Tribolium castaneum: one gene and its partners. Each later gene encodes a partner of the first gene's protein in a complex. Links are inferred from orthologs where the notes say so. Each region holds a gene or a part of one and is shown in the gene's direction. Other genes may lie near its edges.

The links.
Region 2: eIF3i (region 1) and eIF3c share a complex: the UniProt entries of both Drosophila melanogaster proteins name them as parts of the eukaryotic translation initiation factor 3 (eIF-3) complex. The link is inferred for Tribolium castaneum from reciprocal best matches to the Drosophila melanogaster genes eIF3i and eIF3c.
Region 3: eIF3i (region 1) and eIF3h share a complex: the UniProt entries of both Drosophila melanogaster proteins name them as parts of the eukaryotic translation initiation factor 3 (eIF-3) complex. The link is inferred for Tribolium castaneum from reciprocal best matches to the Drosophila melanogaster genes eIF3i and eIF3h.
Region 4: eIF3i (region 1) and eIF3d1 share a complex: the UniProt entries of both Drosophila melanogaster proteins name them as parts of the eukaryotic translation initiation factor 3 (eIF-3) complex. The link is inferred for Tribolium castaneum from reciprocal best matches to the Drosophila melanogaster genes eIF3i and eIF3d1.

Annotation. Positions count from the first base shown.
Region 1 is NC_087394.1:747,915-752,494, reverse strand, and holds eIF3i (eukaryotic translation initiation factor 3 subunit I), read left to right. Parts: upstream 1-1,887; 5' UTR 1,888-2,012; coding exon 2,013-2,015; intron 2,016-2,131; coding exon 2,132-2,325; intron 2,326-2,703; coding exon 2,704-3,487; 3' UTR 3,488-3,524; downstream 3,525-4,580. Other genes in the region: mitochondrial carrier homolog 2, read left to right, coding at 1-27, 273-539. UniProt on the Drosophila melanogaster protein: Component of the eukaryotic translation initiation factor 3 (eIF-3) complex, which is involved in protein synthesis of a specialized repertoire of mRNAs and, together with other initiation factors, stimulates binding of mRNA and methionyl-tRNAi to the 40S ribosome.
Region 2 is NC_087401.1:16,333,643-16,338,861, reverse strand, and holds the start of eIF3c (eukaryotic translation initiation factor 3 subunit C), read left to right. Parts: upstream 1-1,777; 5' UTR 1,778-1,909; intron 1,910-2,156; exon of another isoform or gene 2,157-2,159; 5' UTR 2,160-2,164; coding exon 2,165-2,254; intron 2,255-2,304; coding exon 2,305-3,069; intron 3,070-5,219. Other genes in the region: beag (protein Red), read left to right, coding at 688-1,427. UniProt on the Drosophila melanogaster protein: Component of the eukaryotic translation initiation factor 3 (eIF-3) complex, which is involved in protein synthesis of a specialized repertoire of mRNAs and, together with other initiation factors, stimulates binding of mRNA and methionyl-tRNAi to the 40S ribosome.
Region 3 is NC_087398.1:6,460,483-6,464,663, reverse strand, and holds eIF3h (eukaryotic translation initiation factor 3 subunit H), read left to right. Parts: upstream 1-1,901; 5' UTR 1,902-2,051; coding exon 2,052-2,129; intron 2,130-2,225; coding exon 2,226-3,164; 3' UTR 3,165-3,207; downstream 3,208-4,181. Other genes in the region: vkg (collagen alpha-2(IV) chain), read left to right, coding at 42-464; SelT (thioredoxin reductase-like selenoprotein T homolog CG3887), read right to left, coding at 1,058-1,381, 1,428-1,557, 1,604-1,758; SP555 (SPRY domain-containing SOCS box protein 3), read right to left, coding at 3,980-4,181. UniProt on the Drosophila melanogaster protein: Component of the eukaryotic translation initiation factor 3 (eIF-3) complex, which is involved in protein synthesis of a specialized repertoire of mRNAs and, together with other initiation factors, stimulates binding of mRNA and methionyl-tRNAi to the 40S ribosome.
Region 4 is NC_087399.1:4,807,457-4,812,511, forward strand, and holds eIF3d1 (eukaryotic initiation factor 3 p66 subunit), read left to right. Parts: upstream 1-1,813; 5' UTR 1,814-1,880; coding exon 1,881-2,082; intron 2,083-2,144; coding exon 2,145-2,407; intron 2,408-2,453; coding exon 2,454-2,565; intron 2,566-2,610; coding exon 2,611-2,720; intron 2,721-2,774; coding exon 2,775-2,913; intron 2,914-2,960; coding exon 2,961-3,253; intron 3,254-3,296; coding exon 3,297-3,866; 3' UTR 3,867-3,923; downstream 3,924-5,055. Other genes in the region: Sans (ankyrin repeat and SAM domain-containing protein 4B), read left to right, coding at 1-237, 284-579, 629-1,007. UniProt on the Drosophila melanogaster protein: mRNA cap-binding component of the eukaryotic translation initiation factor 3 (eIF-3) complex, which is involved in protein synthesis of a specialized repertoire of mRNAs and, together with other initiation factors, stimulates binding of mRNA and methionyl-tRNAi to the 40S ribosome.

The DNA of each region.
Region 1 (4,580 bases):
CAAAATTATACTTCAGCCGCTGTGTGTGTAAGTGAATTTAAAAAAAAACACAGTTGGTGAGCCCGACTGTCATTCAATGAAATATTGTCCCAGCGATTTGAAAAAGTCCTATATTATTGAAAAGTATTTTTTATAAAAGTAACTCATATCTGGAAAAAGTCTGTACACTTGAAAATAATTTCAAAGGTCAACAATGCACTTTTTCAAAACACAGAGATTATGGCCGCACTGTTGCCAATATTTTGACTAAAAAATAACTAAACCATTTATAGTATTTGTTGTTCAAGAATCACATTTCGCAGATGGTGTCCTCATCAATAATGTACCCCTTCCAAGTGGTGTCAAATTGCATGGCTGTCTCGAATTCGGGTTTGTTGGCTGGATCGCCCCCTTATATGTTGCACTACAACACTTGGATTGATTGTTGGAATGATTTGTCGAGTCGTAATCAATTGAAAAGAGGGTCTAGTCTTTTGGTTCGTTATTACAAGGGTCCTTCGTTGATAACAAGTAAAGGCAATCTACTCAAGGGCAACTAAATTTCATGTTATTCAGTAGTTGGATTTTTTTTCATTACAAATTGACGCAATTGTATGTAAATATTTAGAGTATTGTGTTATTTTACAATAAAATTCTTGTTCAGATTTTAATTGGAGTTTTTTTTATTAAGCAAGCAAAAACTTTGGCTTTAACTTTTAAAATGTGCGACTTGATATAAAGGTAAGTTAAAGTTGGATTAAATCTTTAGTTTCTTTGTTTTTTATTACACCCTGTACATATTTCGAAAAAAAGTGTTTATCCCCATTTTGTTTCTTTAGTTTACAGTTGCTGAAATCAGTAGGACGCGTTCTTGCAAAAATTAACAAAGTCGCTACACGGGTAGGAGATTGAAAAAATAAAGTTTGAAAAGTCAAGGAGTTTTCAAAAAAGAAAAAAAGAAAAAAAATTCAATAAGATTACAAGGAATATTTGTCCCCACTTCATTTTTTTACAAGCCAAGGCCCTACTGGAGCGCTTTATTACTAGCAAAAATATTTATTATTTACACGGTAAAAGCGTTGCGAAAATTAAGTTCTAAAATTCAAAATAATTTTGAAAATAAAAAGAAAAAATCTGTTAGGTTTTAAAGAGTGTTTACCTCCACTTGATTGTTTTACAGTCGAACACTATCCAAGAGCTTTATTTCCTGCAATAATAAACAAAATTGCAGTACGGAAAGCCGGTTGAAAAAAATGAAGTTTAAAAAGTAAAACATTTGCAAAAAAACAAAAGAAAAACATTCAGTAAGCAGAATGTTTGTCATCAATTAATTTTTTTACAGTCGAAAGTCTCATGGCTAGGCTATATATTCCTTGCAGAATTGAACAAAATCAATAAATGGGAAGGGGGTTAAAAAATAATGTTTGAAAAATTAAAATATTTTCCAAAAAAAAAAGAAAAAAAAATAGGTAAGGCCCCAGGGAATATTTATCCACACTTAATTTTTTTTACAATCAAATTCCCATCATCAGGCTTTGCTTCCTACAAAAATTAAAACACGAAAAGGGAGTTGAAAAAATAAAGTTTAAAAAGTTGAGATAAAAAAAAGATTGTAAGGTCCCAAGGTCTTAAATTAATGGCTCTACTTAATTTTTTTACTGCCAAAAGCCCTTTATTTCATACAAAAATAAACAAAATCGCTACAATGAAATATTATTTTAAAAGATTAAGTTTGTAAAGATAATAATTAAAAAAAAAAATCAGTAAAGGCCCAAAGAGTTTTTAATCAATAATCACAGTTAATTTTATTACATATTTTTCCCAACTGCTAAAAATTGCCAAAATGGCAATAACGCCATTTATCAGTTAATTTTGACAATACGGTTATTTCACCTGAGCCGGCACTGACTTAACCCCGCCACTGCACAACCCACCATGACAGTTAATTTTGACACCTCTTCTGTCAAACAACCGTCAAAAAAAGCGTGTTTAATCATTAAAATCCTTAAAAAAACGCCCAGTTTTTTAACAAAATGGTAAGTAACGACTCACAATCAATCGAAAAAAACGCCCCACAACCGTAAAACATTACATTACCCCACAATTTCACCCACATATTGTTCGCTTAAATTTAACCTCAAAACCCCCACAGAAACCCCTTCTACTCCACGGCCACGAACGTGCCATCACCCAAATCAAGTACAACCGTGAGGGCGACCTCCTCTTCTCCTCCTCAAAGGACAACAAACCCAACGTTTGGTACTCCCTTAATGGCGAGAGGTTGGGAACCTTCAACGGCCACCAGGGGGCTGTCTGGTGCATCGACGTCGACTGGACCACCACTAGGTTAATAATAATAATAAATTTATTGCTGCAATAAAGCAAATGGGTGCGCGATAAGGTTGCCTCAGTAGCGAATATACAGGGTGCCTCACCTAATACTTTTGAGCCTGATATCTCAGTTATTTGTCAACGTATTTTTATGAAAATTAAAATGCAGATATTTAGGAAAGTAAAGATTAAAATCCAATTAATGCAAAAACTGAAGTCTTAAAATCGTAATTTTAAAATTAAAATTAATAAAACAGATATTAATCTCGAAAGTTTTAGGTGAGACACCCTGTACAAGTTTTGATTAATTTGCTTTTACTGATTTAATCAAATACTACTTAGACCAGAAATATCACCTATTTTGCTACTTTTTAAACTATTTAAACTTTATAGGTTCCTGTCAGGTGCCGGTGACAACACCCTTAAAGTATGGGACTGTGAAACGGGCAAAGAAATCGGGAACATCTCAACCAATTCATCAGTCCGAACGTGTCTGTTTAGCTACTCGGGCAACATGGCAGTGTACACCACCGACAAAGCCCTCAAACACAACTGCGAGATCTTCATTATTGACGTCCGTAACGTGGACGAAAGCATCTCGCACGCCGACCCCATTTTACGCATCCCGATTAAAGGTTCCCGTGTTTCGTCAATCCTATGGGATAACCTGGACGAAACTATAATAACCGGGCACGAAAACGGGGATTTGATCAAGTGGGACTTGAAGTCAGGCAAAGAGATCAGTTCAACACGTGAACACGAACATTTAATCAACGATATGCAGTGGAATAAAGACGGGACAATGTTTGTGACAGCGTCCAAAGACCACACAGCTAAACTGTTCGACGCTGCTGATTTGATGTTACTGAAGACTTACAAGACAGAACGGCCGGTTAATTCAGCTGCCATTAGCCCCATTTTTGAGCATGTGGTTGTGGGCGGAGGGCAAGATGCCATGGATGTGACAACCACGTCGGCAAGGGTTGGGAAATTTGACTCGAGGTTTTTCCATATGGTGTTTGAAGAAGAGTTTGGGAGGGTTAAAGGGCATTTTGGGCCGATTAATAGTGTGGCGTTTCATCCAGATGGCAAGAGTTATAGTTCAGGAGGTGAAGATGGTTATGTGAGAGTGCATAATTTCGATTCGTCATATTTTGAGTATAATTTCGATTATTAAATGGATAGCTGGTATTAATAAATTTTTTAATAAAACAGTTTGGTTGTTTTTGTTCCTAGATTACGTCCAAGTCTAAGTTTTCGGAGCAATGATTTTAAATAATGATTATACAGGTGCTCCATAACTTTTTTTCTATGCAAGCTATCAAGTTGAATTTTTTTGAAACGCTAGGTTTACTATTGTAAGACTTATTAGGCACGTTCTAAAAATATTTTAATCTGTATACAGAGTATTCCAAAATAAAATACCTAACTATGTTCTGTTTTTTTTTAACAAAAACCCGGATTTTATGGATTTATCTGTCATAGCTTTTTGACTTTTTGACAGAAAATACACAAATAAAGCCCTTGTTAATGTGTTTTTCGTTCGTTTGAAACTGAAATTTAATTACGAAAATAATTTTGGTAAATTTTATTCCGGCGCTTCCAACTTGTGAAATGTAACTAAAACATTCGAAAAAGCAAAAATAATGAAATTTTCAGCTCCGTATTACTGCATTTAGTTACGTTTTGTGTTTTTTGAGACTGAAAAATTACTAACCTCAATTTTGTGGCTTCCAAAAAGTGGCGTCCAAAATGCGTTGGCTGTGACTTCTGTGATGTCACATTTTGAACAAAACGTTAATTTTAGTCATTTTGGCACTAAATACGCACAAAACACTGCTTTTTCAACACAAAAAACTAAAGGAAAAGACGCTTTGAAACAAATGATGTCAAGCCAACTCGATTTCATTGGGTGGTTTCAAGATGAGTGGTTTGTTGTTGTGCGGCAACTGTGAGACAGCGAAAGCGGGAAATTTAAAATTAGATTTTTTTGGCTCGTTTTATTTTATAACAAAAATTTCAATCAACCGTGCGATTAGTCGGTGAATTTAATTTAATTTAATTTAAAATGAGATTTAAGCTAGAATCTTATCAAAAAGCAGAGAAATAATGTGTTTTTCGTTTCTTTAAGCGAGAATTTGCAAAACAAGATAAACTTTTATTATACTTTAACGACGTGCCATAACAGTTAAAAAATGTAAAAATTGTTTTGTTTTTTCAATGCAATCTTTCGAAACAGAAAGTAATTTTGGATCTAATTACGTAATTTT
Region 2 (5,219 bases), on another chromosome or scaffold:
TTTTCTCGCTTATAAAAATTCTTCTCTAGTTTCTTTTATAATATTTCTTATTTATTTTTTAGCATTGTTTTTGTACTTACCTTTAGATTTTTTTAAAAGATTTTTGTGATTCTTTCCTAAAGAGGTCTTTAGATTTTAAATCAGCAAAATTTTCCTTTAAATTCTCCTTTCTCGCTTATAAAAATTCTTCTCTAGTTTCTTTTATAATATTTCTTATTTATTTTTTAGCATTGTTTTTGTACTTACCTTTAGATTTTTTTAAAAGATTTTTGTGATTCTTTCCTAAAGAGGTCTTTAGATTTTAAATCAGCAAAATTTTCCTTTAGATTCTCTTCTCTCGCTTATAAAAATTCTTGTCTAGTTTCTTTTAGAATTCTTCTTGTTCATTTTTTAGCATTGTTTTTTTACTGTCTTTTAGATTTTTTTAAAGATTTTTATGATTATCTCCTAAAGACTTCTTTAGATCTTAAATCCGCAATTTTTTTTATATTCTCCTCTCTCGCTTATAAAAATTCTTCTCTAGTTTCTTTTAGAATTGCTCTTATTTATTTTCTAGCATTGTTTCTGTACTTCTTTTTGGATTTTTTAAAGGTTTTTGTGATTCTTTTTTAAAAATTTTTACATGAATTTTAATGTTAAAATTCCTATTAATTTAATACCAACATGACTATTAAAATTTTATTTCAGACGATGAGGCTGAATCAGACATTCCAACAACTTTAATCCGTTCAATCGCCGACGTTCCGTCATTTGAACTCACCACAACCCTCACAACCAACGACATTGTCATAAATAAATTAACCCAAATTTTAAGTTACTTGCGCCAAGGCAACCGAAAGAACAAAAAAACCAAACGGGGACTCCCCGAAAGTCGCGAAAACGAACAACCGGAAGAACCCGAACCGAAAAAAACAACAAAACGTACAACCGGTGATGACTCCATCTATGGAGATATTGGTGATTACGTACCCACAAGAAGTGGTAAACATGGAAACTCGTCACGTGACCATAACAAACACACGTACTTTGATAAACAAGAGGAAGCGCTTGAAAATAGCGGACCGACTTTCAAAGTCAGTAAATCGGCACAAATCCTTAATAAACTGGCTCAAGAGCCTGAGGGATATGCTGAGTGTTATCCCGGATTGGAGGAAATGAACGATGCGATTGATGATTCTGATGATGAGGTTGATTATTCTAAGATGGACTTGGGGAATAAAAAGGGGCCGATTGGACGCTGGGACTTTGACACAGCTGAGGAGTATTCCGATTATATGAACCAGAAGGAGGCTTTGCCGAAAGCAGCCTTCCAGTACGGCCTTAAAATGGCAGATGGGCGCAGGTCCAGGAAGCATAAGGATAAGAACGAAAAGGCGCATTTGGACAGGGAGTGGCAAAAAATCCAAAGCATTATCAAGAAGAAATAATTTTGTTGTGTATTTAGGAGATAAATAAGTTAATTTAAATAAAAAATATATATTGGAAATTTGATTTTCTACAACTTTGTTCCTTACTTTTTTGTCTTACTATCGAGAGTTTAATGCTCTATGTGCCTGTATTTTTTCTTTGCTATCTGCTAATGGAACAAGTGCGCTCTCTGGTGACAATAAAGGAACTACCGAAAACGCGAGCGTTTCATTTGTACGTCTTTGGTATCTTAACCGTAGAATCCTTACTTTTGACACAACTTGAACCTAAATACCACCACCTAACCCTGGCTCTCGACTTAAGGGCCCTTTCGTGCCCAAAAACAAATTAATTTGCCCTTTTTTTACGATATTACCATAACACTACCAATCACAAGACAAAAAAGTCCCGATTTTGACAGTTGGCACAAGTTTTTGGCCATTTTGTGGTTACAATCGTGTCGGAAAATCTGTTAAGTGAAAAAAAGGCTTTAAACACGTAAGTTTTGCCTCTTTCACGTGTATTTTACCTTAAAATTGTGGTTCCGACATTTCTAACTATAATTTTGGGGAGTTCCGTCTCCAAACATGAACCACATGGGCCCCAGTAACTAGCTTTAAAGTAGTCTTAAATTAAGTTTTCGGTCTTCATTTGGCCCAAAGAAGCGAAAAACCGTTACCTAACGCCAATTTAACGCCTAGTTATTGCGTTATTTCACGTAATTTTTTTGAGGTTATGTCACTTTGTAGGTAAAAAAATGAGTCGTTTTTTCGCCGGTTCGGACTCAGACTCCGACAGCTCCTCCGAGGAAGAGCCAATTCAGCGCGCGCCAGCGCCCGTTTTCACCGTAAGTGAGCCCCCATGTAGCTTAACATTTTTTTAATGGCCCCCTTCTAGTTTAGCGACGATGAAGAGGAGGTCAAACGTGTGGTTCGCTCCGCCAAAGAGAAGCGTTACGAGGAACTCACTAACATTATCAAACAAATCCGCAATTACAAAAAAATCAAAGACATGAGCAGCATGTTGACCAGTTTTGAAGACCTTCAGAAGGCCTACGTTAAAGCGCTCCCAGTGATCGCGAAAGAAGAATCGGGGCAAACGCCCCGTTTCTTCACCCGTTGTTTGGTCGAAATGGAAGATTTCATCAACGAAATGTGGGAAGATCGCGACGGACGCAAAAACATGAGCAAAAACAACAGCAAGTCTTTGGCTTCAATGCGCCAGAAGTTGCGCAAGTACATCAAAGATTTCGAGGAGGATATTGCCAAGTTTAGGGAAAACCCCGACCAGCCGGACGATGAAGAAGAGGAAGAGAAACACGAGCCTGAGCCAGACACTCAAACTGAAGCGCCGGCCAAAGCTGTGGCTAAAATTTCCAAACAGATTGTTGATGATGAAGGGTCGTCTGATTCGGACGATTGGCCTAGTGATAGTGACTCGAGTTCGGATAGTTTTGATGAAGATGAAGGGAAAGGGACTATGAGGGAGCGGTTTTTGAAGAAAACTGGGCCGGCGCATGAAGATGATGAAGAACGCGATCGGAGGAAGGAGGAAAGGAGGAAGGAACGTAAGGAGAAGGAGAGGCGGAAGGTGAAGAAGGAGGATGAGGAGGATGGGGAAGGGGAGTGGGAGTTTGTGAAGGGGGGAATCGCAATTCCGAGCGTAAGTATCAGTACTTTAAATGTTTTTCTATTAAAAAAAATGAGGAATGACCTCTTTTCTTTTGTTATTCGGCTGTCTTGATTAGATAACACAGTACAATGAACTTTTTTTTTATAAAAAAGCTTAATAAGACCTTCTTCTATGACATATTAAAAATTTGGAAAGATATTATTTATGATTTTCTTGTTAGAGTCTGTCAAAAATAAACATTCTTGAAAAAATCAATAAAACAAAGTAAAAAATTCCGCTGTCTTGATTGGATAACACAGAGCAATGAACTTCTTTTTTATAAAACAGCTTCAGAAGACCTTCCTCTATAACATATTAAAAATCTGGAAAGATATTATTTTTGGTTTTCTTGTTAGAGTCTGTCGAAAATAAACATTCTTGAAAAAATCAAATAAAACACAAAGTTAAAAATCCCGCTGTCTTGATTGGATAACATAAAGCAATGAACTTCTTTTTTATAAAACAACTTCAGAAGACCTTTTTCTATAACATATTAAAAATCTGGAAAGATATTATGAACAATGAACTTCTTTTTTATAAAACTTTTTTATAAAACAGTTTCAGAAAACCTTCTTTTATAACATATTAAAAATTTGGAAAGATATTATTTTTAGTTTTCTTGTGAGAGTCTTCCAAAAATAACCATTCTTGAAAAATTCAAATAAAACACAAAGTTAAAAATCCCGCTGTCTTGATTGGATAACATAAAGCAATGAACTTCTTTTTTATAAAACAACTTCAGAAGACCTTCTTCTATAACATATTAAAAATATGGAAAGATATTATTTTTGGTTTTCTTGTGAGAGTCTTCCAAAAATAACCATTCTTGAAAAATTCAAATAAAACACCAAGTTAAAAATTCCGCTGTCTTGATTGGATAACATAGAGCAATGAACATCTTTTTTATTAAACAACTTCAGAAGACCTTTTTCTATAACATATTAAAAATCTGGAAAGATATTATTTTTGGTTTTCTTGTTAGAGTCTGCCAAAAATAACCATTCTTGAAAAATTCTAATAAAACACAAAGTTAAAAATTCCGCTGTGTTGATTGGATAACATAGAGCAGTGAACTTCTTTTTTATAAAACAGCTTCAGAAGACCTTCTTCTATAACATATAAAAAATTTGGAAAGATATTATTTTTGGTTTTCTTGTTAGAGTCTGTCAAAAATAACCATTCTTGAAAAATTCAAATAAAACACCAAGTTAAAAATTCCGCTGTCTTGATTGGATAACATCGAGCAATGAACTTCTTTTTTATAAAACAGCTTCAGAAGATCTTCCTCTATAACATATTAAATATTTGGAAAGATATTATTTTTGGTTTTCTTGTGAGAGTCTGTCAAAAATAACCATTCTTGAAAAATTCAAATAAAACTCAAAGTTAAAAATTCCGCTGTCTTGATTGGATAACATCGAGCAATGAACTTCTTTTTTGTAAAACAGCTTCAGAAGACCTTCTTCTCTAACATATTAAAAATTTGAAAAGATATTATTTTTGGTTTTCTTGTTAGAGTCTGTCAAAAATAACCATTCTTGAAAAATTCAAATAAAACACCAAGTTAAAAATTCCGCTGTCTTGATTGGATAACACAGAACAATGAACTTCTTTTTTATAAAACAGCTTCAGAAGACCTTCCTCTATAACATATTAAATATTTGGAAAGATATTATTTTTGGTTTTCTTGTGAGAGTCTGCCAAAAATAACCATTCTTGAAAAATTCAAATAAAACACCAAATTAAAAATTCCGCTGTCTTGATTGGATAACATCGAGCAATGAACTTTTTTATTATAAAACAGCTTCAGAAGACCTTCTTCTATAACATATTAAAAATTTGGAAAGATATTATTTTCGGTTTTCTTGTGAGAGTCTGCCAAAAATAACCATTCTTGAAAAATTCAAATAAAACATAAAGTTAAAAATCCCACTGTCTTGATTGGATAACACAGAGCAGTGAGCTTCAATTTTATAAAACAGCTTCAGAAGACCTTCTTTTATAACATATTAAAAATTTGAAAAGATATTGTTTTTGGTTTTCTTGTTAGAGTCTGCCAAAAATAACCATTCTTGAAAAATTCAAATAAAACACAAAGTTAAAATTTCCGCTGTCTTGATTGGATAACATACAGCAAATGA
Region 3 (4,181 bases), on another chromosome or scaffold:
TTCACCCCCTCGAACCCACATTTGTTTAACATATATTGCAGCACGTGGACGCCGGTGCCGAAGGCTCAGGCCAATCCCTCGTCTCCCCCGGCTCATGCCTCGAAGAGTTCCGCCCCAAACCCTTCATCGAATGCCACGGTCACGGCCGCTGCAACTACTACACCACCATCCTGTCCTACTGGCTGGCCACCATAGAGGATTCAGCCATGTTCCAAAAACCGCGTTCGGAGACTCTCAAAGCCGGCTATTTGACCTCAAGAGTCAGCAGATGCGCCGTTTGCATCCGCAGACGGTACACCAGTCGCACTGCAATTGTCACCCCTAGTCGAATCACAAGACCCACATACGGGACCCCGTATCGGCCCCCAGGCTATCCACCAGGAAGTTACAGGAACTTGGAAGAGAATAGGAGGAGGCGTTTGAGGCAGAGATTGAGACACAGGAGACCGCAAAATACGCCGTGATCGACGTGCCATAACAGTTATTAACTTTGTAATTATGTGTAAATTAATTGTAACATAGATTTGATGTTAACATTTGTCCTTGAGAAGGAACGTACGCCGTGTTCAAACACAAATCCTATTAGAATATTTTTTACTTGTAAGGATTTAGGTTCTTAATTTTATTTAAGCGATTACGACAGTGGCTCTTTGTATAGAATTTATTTTTTTAATACTTGAATTCTTGCTTGTTTTTGATCTTTTTTATCTCAAAGGTGCTAATTAGTTTTAAGGCTTACGACAGGAAAATGTGATTCATATTTTATGTGCCTTTCTATTAAACACTGCCAAATGATTTTGTAATGTAACAAATGAATAAATCATAAAAACGATGAGTTTTTGGGTTTTATTAGGTATCAAATAAGAAGACAATTTCTTTATGTACAACTTTTACTTATCACAAATCTAGTTATTTATAAATCATACATTCAAACATACTGAACGCTGTGTGATAGTGACCAGACAAAAAATTATAGAATGACACTACCAGACTCACAACAAATTTAAAAAAGAACAATCTGATAACAAAACAATCATTTTCGAAATTTATAGTAACTTTACTTCGGGAATCCGTTGCTCAGTTCAATTTTGCTGTCAGTGAACTGCATATGATTATCGATGATTTGGAAAAGCTCTGCAGGTTGTGGTATCCTGCCCGTCTCCAGTTTGGACCAAACAGGAACGTCATTCAGTGAGATTTCAAAAGCCCCCGATTGAATCAACTGTCCTTCGATAATATTACACACAAAGAACAGCATCATGCAAGCATAAAGCTTGTTTTCTGTGCACCAAATCCACCATGAAGGCTGTGGTTGGTTAATGTATTCAAATATGTTAATAGCCCCCAAAATACACACGATTATCACCATTTTAACGATGCCCTGAAAACGCATAATCATCAACTTTCACTCATTATATCATACTTACAATAAGTCTGGCCAAATACATGTTCAAGCCTGGGGGGTCGTAATTTTGGCCATCAACGGCTATAAAAGGGTATTTGTCCCCAACGATTTTTACGTACTGCTCGAACGTTTTCCGGTAACCACACGAATAACTAAATTAAATAATTAGATTATGATATTGGGGCTAGGGGAACATACCAATACAAAAATTTTAAGGTTGGGGCCCCAACATTTTGACTTAGCTTCGACGGGAGGACGTCTTCAGCTGCTACGTTACCGTTTGATTCGAGAAAACACAGCCCCGCAAACACCACTAAATACCAAAAACATGATATTTGTCTTAAACCAGCCATTTATTTTGCTTTCTAATGCTCTCGTCAGCTGATAAATTTCCAATGACAGGTGGGACTGGTGGAAACGTAGGGGAATTTAGACACCGACTAGATCAGCCTAAAACACTAATATAATAATTATTTCACGTCCAAAAAACACGAGATTGTGTTAGCTGCTACAAAATTTGGTAACAAACAACGTAATCGTTAAATAAGGCCATTATCGGCTGGCAATTTTTACGAAAATTGTGTTTTTGTAGCAATTGTGGAGTTTTTGTTTGCGCTACATTGGCAGGTATTTTTGGCAGTTTAAAATGGCGTCTCGTGGGGCTGCTTCGAGGCGTGTGCCTGAAAATGACTCGACGATTGCTTACGTGCAAGCCGACGGCTTGGTAAATATCCCTTCAGTTTATTTAAACCCAAAAGTCACACTTTGGCTACCTCAGTTAGTAATTAATACCTAACATACGGAACCTAACCTCTTTCAGGCCGTCATGAAGATCGTAAAACACTGCCATGAGGAATCGACCACTAACATGGACATAGCCCAGGGGGCCCTTCTCGGCCTTGTCGTTGAAAACCGGCTGGAAATCACGAATTGTTTCCCATTCCCGAAACAAACCGACGAGACAATGGACGAGGACGAGTACCAGCTAGCGATGATGCGGCGCCTGCGACGCGTCAACGTCGACCACTTCCATGTGGGGTGGTACCAAAGCGCCGACGTCGGGAACTTCCTCAGCCTCCCTCTTCTCGAATCGCAATTCCACTACCAAACCTCAATCGAGGAATCCGTCGTTGTGATTTACGACACTCAAAAATCCTCGCGCGGGTTCCTCACACTTAAAGCCTACCGTTTGACGCCTCAAGCCATTGAGATGTACAAGGAGGGCGAATTCACGCCCGAGGCCCTCTTGAAGCTCAAAGTCGGATACGAGAACCTCTTCATCGAGGTCCCCTTCGTTATTAAAAACTCCGCCTTGACCAACATCATGATGTCCGAATTGCAAGAACTTGTCCCGGAAGAAGAAGGCTCGAAATTTTTAGATTTGGGAACCGCCTCCGTCCTCGAGGGGCAATTGCGCTGCCTCATGGACCGAGTTGACGAACTCAACCAAGAAGCGATCAAGTTTAATAGATACCAACAGTTGGTCAGCCGGCAACAGCAAGACAAACACAGATATTTGCAAAAGAGGGCGCAGGAAAATGCGGCTAGGGCCGCGAAAGACGAGCCCCCATTGCCCGAAGAGGACATTAATAAGCTGTTTAGGCCACATCCGGTGCCCCCGAGGCTGAACCCGATGATTATCGCGGGACAGATTAATACGTATAGTCAGGCCATTTCCCAGTTGTGCTCGCAGAGTTTGGCTAAGTTGTATATTACGCAAGCGTTGCAGAACGCCAAGGAGGCGAATTCTAATCCTTGAACTGTTTTGTTACGTTGTTTTACAATAAAATAATATACAATGAGTTTGGGTTTTATTTAAACCAGGCGTAATAAAGCTTAATTGGCGCAGTCAGTAGGTTTTGTGGTGGCGTCTCTTCTGTGAAATTTCTACGTTTGAACGTTTAATCATCCCCTTAAAAAATGGTACTAAACCAACAGTGGAGAAAGTCATATTCGCAACCTTTTCATCGTTTATGTTGATTTTGTTGTTTTTTGATTGAAATAAAGGACACAGCTTTTAAAAAATAATGTATTCAATTGCCCTAAACATCAATTTAGTCATTACAGTCTTACGAACCTAAAGAAATGAATTTTATTTATTTACATTTCTATTGCACAAACTGGCCAAAATGTACACACTTTTTTGTGCAACTTTCTCAAACTCATACAAACCAATAACAAACAACACACGAAAAACAACAACAAAACAAGACTAGATAATCAATCACAATAAATCGTTTCGTATTACGCTATTAGCAGTTCAATCAATAAGAAAAATCGTGTCATGAGTATAAAAATGTTGATTAATTCATTTGAAAAAATTCCCCATTTTACATTGATAAAATAGCTTAACACTACGACTAGACTCTAGGTAACATTCACCACTGGCGTCGTCCCATTTATCGTATTTACAGAATTTTAAAATGGCACATGGACAAATCCACGGTTTTACATTTCTATACACACGTACCGAGAAAACCTTTTGGTACAAATACATATACAGTGTGGACCAACAATAAAAGTATTTAGTTTGCCTTTTATTTATCCACGTGATTCACTTGTCGAATCAAACGCCTACATATTCCCGACATTAATCGAAATCGTGTTGTGATTGACGGGTTTGAACGGCTCAACACTGTCAACAATCGCCTCAGCCAAATAACTCCTAATTTTAGTCGGAACGAACAATTTTTCCAAATCCTGCTTACTCCTAATCCTCTTGACGATCACCGCCCTGCACCTGTCCTGCAAATTGACGAAGTCCCTCTTCATCGAA
Region 4 (5,055 bases), on another chromosome or scaffold:
GAGAAGCTGGAGAAACGTATGAACAAAGGTCACCACAGGCCGTCGATGATAGAGACGCTCAAAACCAGAATTAAAAGTGGGTCCATGTCGAACTTGTCGAATCTGGGGCCGGCCCCTCCGAGGTTCAGCACCATCGTGGGCAACGGGACCGTTTCCGGGATGCGGAATTTGGGGTCGGTGCAGAAGCGGGTGCTCGCCAGCCGAACAACGCGGCCTGGCTTCGACGACGACTTCAAGGTGCTCCCGAGAGTAAATAAGCATTTATTTGAAAAACTCGTTCCAGATTAGTGAAATTGAAGACGGCAAACGCTCAGTCAGATCACTAACGGGGTATCGGCGAGACTCTGAGGTACTTTACACGGGGACCATCGATGGCAGGAGAGGCCGTCTGGAATCGGTCTTCAACGAAGCTGAGTACATAGAGTCGTCTCCGCCGCCACCACCGTCCAGCAACGGCCTCACAAGGTCCATCTCCCAGCCTGACTTCATGCACGAATTGGAAACAAACGGCGACACTAAACTCCAACAAGAACCAGCGAGTATTTTCGTGCGCCCAGGAATTGGAAGCATAGCGTTCCGGTAACAAATAATCAATATGCGAAAGCACAAAAACACGTTTTTTATTTAGAAAGAGCATAACCAACACATTCCAAGGCTTCTACTCCAGCGAAGGCCCCAACGAGGAGAGTTCAATCGGGTCAGGGGAAAGCTACGGCCCCAGAACCAACACTCTATCAATCGAAGACGAGTTATCAGACCCCGAGTCCAGCGACGACGATAACCCGAACGCTCCCCTGGAACGCTTCTTGACCGCCTGGGGGCTAGGAGAGTACCTTCCCCGCTTCGAGGAGCAGAAAATCGACCTGGAAACGCTGATGATACTGACAGAAAACGATCTCCAAAGCCTGAACTTGCCCCTAGGGCCGTACAGGAAACTTGTGACCGCTGTCAGCGAACGCAAAGCCGCGCTGGAGAATCCGGGCGAAGTCACAGACAGCATGTTGTAAATATGGAGTCAAAATGTGTTATTTATTCATTGTCGTGGACATGATAACGGTATTGCTTGTATTTTATGGGCACTTTTTGTACAGATGTGTGCCAGGCATAATATTTACAAATTCGTATTTAAATTTATTATAAATAAATGTGTGTTATGCAAATGCGAGCTTATTAAACCCACTCCTTATCAGTGTTCTCTTTGCTGAGAGAAATCTGATGTCATCGTCAATACGCAATAATAGGGGACGTAAAATATACTACGAAAAAGTGAAGTTACGTGTAGAAGAATTTGAATTCAATACAAATTTTTGCGCTGTTGCGTTCTTTGTGATGGCAATGAGTTTTTATGCAAAATAAAGTTAGTGAGACACCAAAATAGAAAAAAATAATGCCTTATTGCCATTAGAGCTTATTTTCTTGCTGTTTTTCCAAGTTAAATATTAGTTATTAACAATGCAATAAATCAATTAGGTTGTAATGGAAAAAATTTAATTTAAAATTAATTGGAAACCCAAGAGTGAAGGATTTTTAACAGGATTCCATTATTATTTAGCATCGCCAACTTACATCAAATGTCGCTGCGGATCAGGGTGACAATTTTTTTCTGAAAAAAAGTGTAGAAAAGGTAAGTGAAACAACACGTAAACAAAAATTAGAGAATTAAATTGAAAAAAAAGTGGATGAAAATGTTTTCTCAAGCGCAGCGACATTTGATGTAAGTTGGCCATGTTATTTTGATTTCAAAAGCGCCGAATTTCAAAAACTGTCGATTGTCAGAATCTGCGCGCGCACATTTCTTTTTGCCAAGTGTTGTGCACAACTCGCGGTTTCTGCTTCAACATATTGAATTGAACACTTCCTAACTTCTGAAAGCAAGTCAAATGACTATGACTGATGGTCAATCAGCGGGTGAGGTCCCCAAATTCGTGGCCCCCGTAATCCAGGACAACCCGACTGGATGGGGGCCCTGCGAGCTGCCCGACCAGTTCAAAGATATGCCGTACCAGCCCTTCAGCAAAGGCGACCGTCTCGGCAAAATCAGCGACTGGACGGGGGCCGCCTTCCAAGACAAGAAATATGCCAGTTAGTCTGACATTGACACATGTCAAATTTGAGGTTAAGTGACTTATTTTTCGCAATTTTAGACAAGTATGCGTCCCAGTTCGGTTCTGGCAGTCAATACGCGTATTATCATGACGAAGACGAGAGCACTTTTCATTTGGTGGACACAACACGCGTCCAGAAGCCCCCCTATCAACGGGGGCGCTTCCGCGCGAACCAGCGCAACTTGCGCGGGCGTGGCGGCCGTGCTGGGGTGCAAGGCAGCGGCATGCAGTCCCTCGGGAAGGGGGTTAAAGCCAGGGACACGTATAAGAGGAGCCAGGTTAAGAAATGGGGACAAGGACGGGTAAGATCTCGCTTGAGTTTTACCGCAATATAGTTGGCGGTTTTAGCCCCAGATTAAGATCAGGGACGCTTCGGTTACGGTCAAACCGGATTGGGTCACCATTGAGGAAATGGATTTCCCTCGGTTGGGAAAATTGTCGCTCCCTAACGTCAAAGACGGTTGGTTTAATTAAGCAATGCGAATTTTTCTATTTTGGTTTTTAGGCGAGGATATTACTTGTTGTGGCGAGTTGGAGTACTATGACAAGTCGTACGATCGTGTCAACGTGAAGAATGAGAAGCCGCTGCAAAGCGTCAATCGTATCTTCCATACAGTGGGTTATTTTTAATATCATTGATGGCAAAAAATTAAAATTAATTATCCTCAGGTTACAACAACTGATGATCCGATTATCCGTAAGTTGAGTAAAACGGAGGGCAATGTGTACGCCACTGATGCGATCCTTGCGACCATCATGTGCTGCACTCGCTCGAATTATTCCTGGGACATCGTGATTGAAAAAATTGGTACTGTGCCCTTACAAGTGTAACAAATCTCAAACAAAATTTTTCAGGCGATAAACTCTTCTTTGATAAGCGTGACAATACGGAGTTTGATCTTTTAACCGTCAACGAAACGTCCGTGGAGCCCCCACAAGACGACGGCAACTCCTTAAACTCCCCTCGAAACCTGGCCTTGGAAGCCACTTTCATTAACCACAATTTCAGTCAACAGGTATTAAGAACAGGTACCGGGGAGCCCCGCTTCAAGTTCGACAACCCAAACCCTTTTATCTCCGAGGAGGAGGAAGGGGAGGTCGCCAGTGTGGCCTACAGATACCGCAAATATGACCTAGGGAGCGGAATAGTAATTTTTTCGTTTTGTTTCTGTCCACGTTTAATTTGTGTAGTTTTTGGTTGTCCGTTGCGAACACGATGCCGTGGTCCAGTCCCCGAATGGCGAGCTCCAATTCCTGTCAATCAAGGCCTTGAACGAATGGGATTCCAAATTGGCCAATGGGGTGGAGTGGCGCCAGAAACTGGACACCCAGAGAGGCGCCGTTTTGGCCAATGAGCTGCGTAATAACGCCTGCAAGCTGGCCAAATGGACCGTTCAGGCGTTGCTGGCTGGCAGCGACCAAATTAAATTCGGTTATGTTTCCCGGGCCCATGTCAGGGATAACAGCAAGCATGTTATTCTGGGTACACAGCAGTATAAGCCGCACGAGTTTGCCACTCAGATTAATCTGAATATGGATAATGCGTGGGGGATTCTGCGGTGTATTATTGACATTGTTATGAAACAGAAGGATGGGAAGTATTTGATTATGAAAGATCCGAATAAGCCGATGATCCGGTTGTACGATATTCCGGATAATACGTTCGAATCGGACGGGGAGTCGGAGTCGGAGGATGAGGTGCCCCCTGATTCCGTGACTTTCCAGACCCTTTATCCATACACCAACAGTGCGAAACGCTAGATTTTGTATTTTTATCATGTATTAGCGAAAGGCCGAAATAAAATGATCAATAAATAATAATTTGCAGTTAATTCTCGTGCATAGTATTAACCAACAAGTGAAAAAAAAATAAAACGGACTCTTGTCGTGTAGCAGCAGCAAGGTGCATTTGCTCACGCATTTTTTAATTTTTTTCAACAAAGAAAGTAAAGCTGTCGTATTCACAACAAAAGAAAAATAAAGGTAAGTGCATTATTCTATTTTGTTGCGGATTTACTTTATTAGGTTTAGAATTTACTTATTCAAGATTATCAGCACATTTTTATGACGTAAGATGTCATATTATCGTATGATTCATTCTTTTTTTGTTAATACGTTCCAACATTCAATAACTAAATCAAATTAACAGTTTTATTTTTACTCGAACCCACACAATTTGAGATGTTGAAAAGTTATAATCGTTTGAGTGCAACATTTTACAACAGATTAACTACTTTATAAAATTTTCAAACTAATTTGATGACATTTGAGTTTATGATGTCGTAAAGTGTATTTTTTCAATTGCTCATCTCCAAGTGGGATTGAATATGTGATACAATTAACATATTGTAAGTGAAATGTGGAATGGTAGGTATAATAATGACATAATATTAACTTGGTTTTTATTTATTTGCAATACCTTATTGCTACATATTGTAGCGGAAGTAGATGCCATGAAGATAAGTGCACTTTAATAATTTTTTTCATTTTACAAAACATCAGCTTTTTAAACTATTTTTCCCTCGAAACTAATTTGTTATTCTTCCACGAATGAAATAATGGAGGGGGGAAAGGTTTGTTACTTTATTTTTTTTTTTTTTGAATGAACTATATAATTTATTGCCGCACTTATACAATATGTTTGTTATTGTCTTTTCCAATATCTTAAATGTTTTAGTTTTGTTTTTATCAACAACAGGAGCCCTATACCCACAGTAGTTTTCGAAATATTTCACTTATGAATTCACATTGTGGAGTTAAGCGAAATATCTTTCTAATTTTTTCAAACACATTAAGCTGTATTTTGTGAAGTAGCGTTTCCATAAAGACGCATTTGTACCCAAATGAAAAAAATAAAAGTGGTCCAAACCACTCATAAAAAACATAATTAACTGAATAAAATTGAAACTTACCAAAAAGAATTAATCCAAAAAAAAAAAAATTTGTGGTC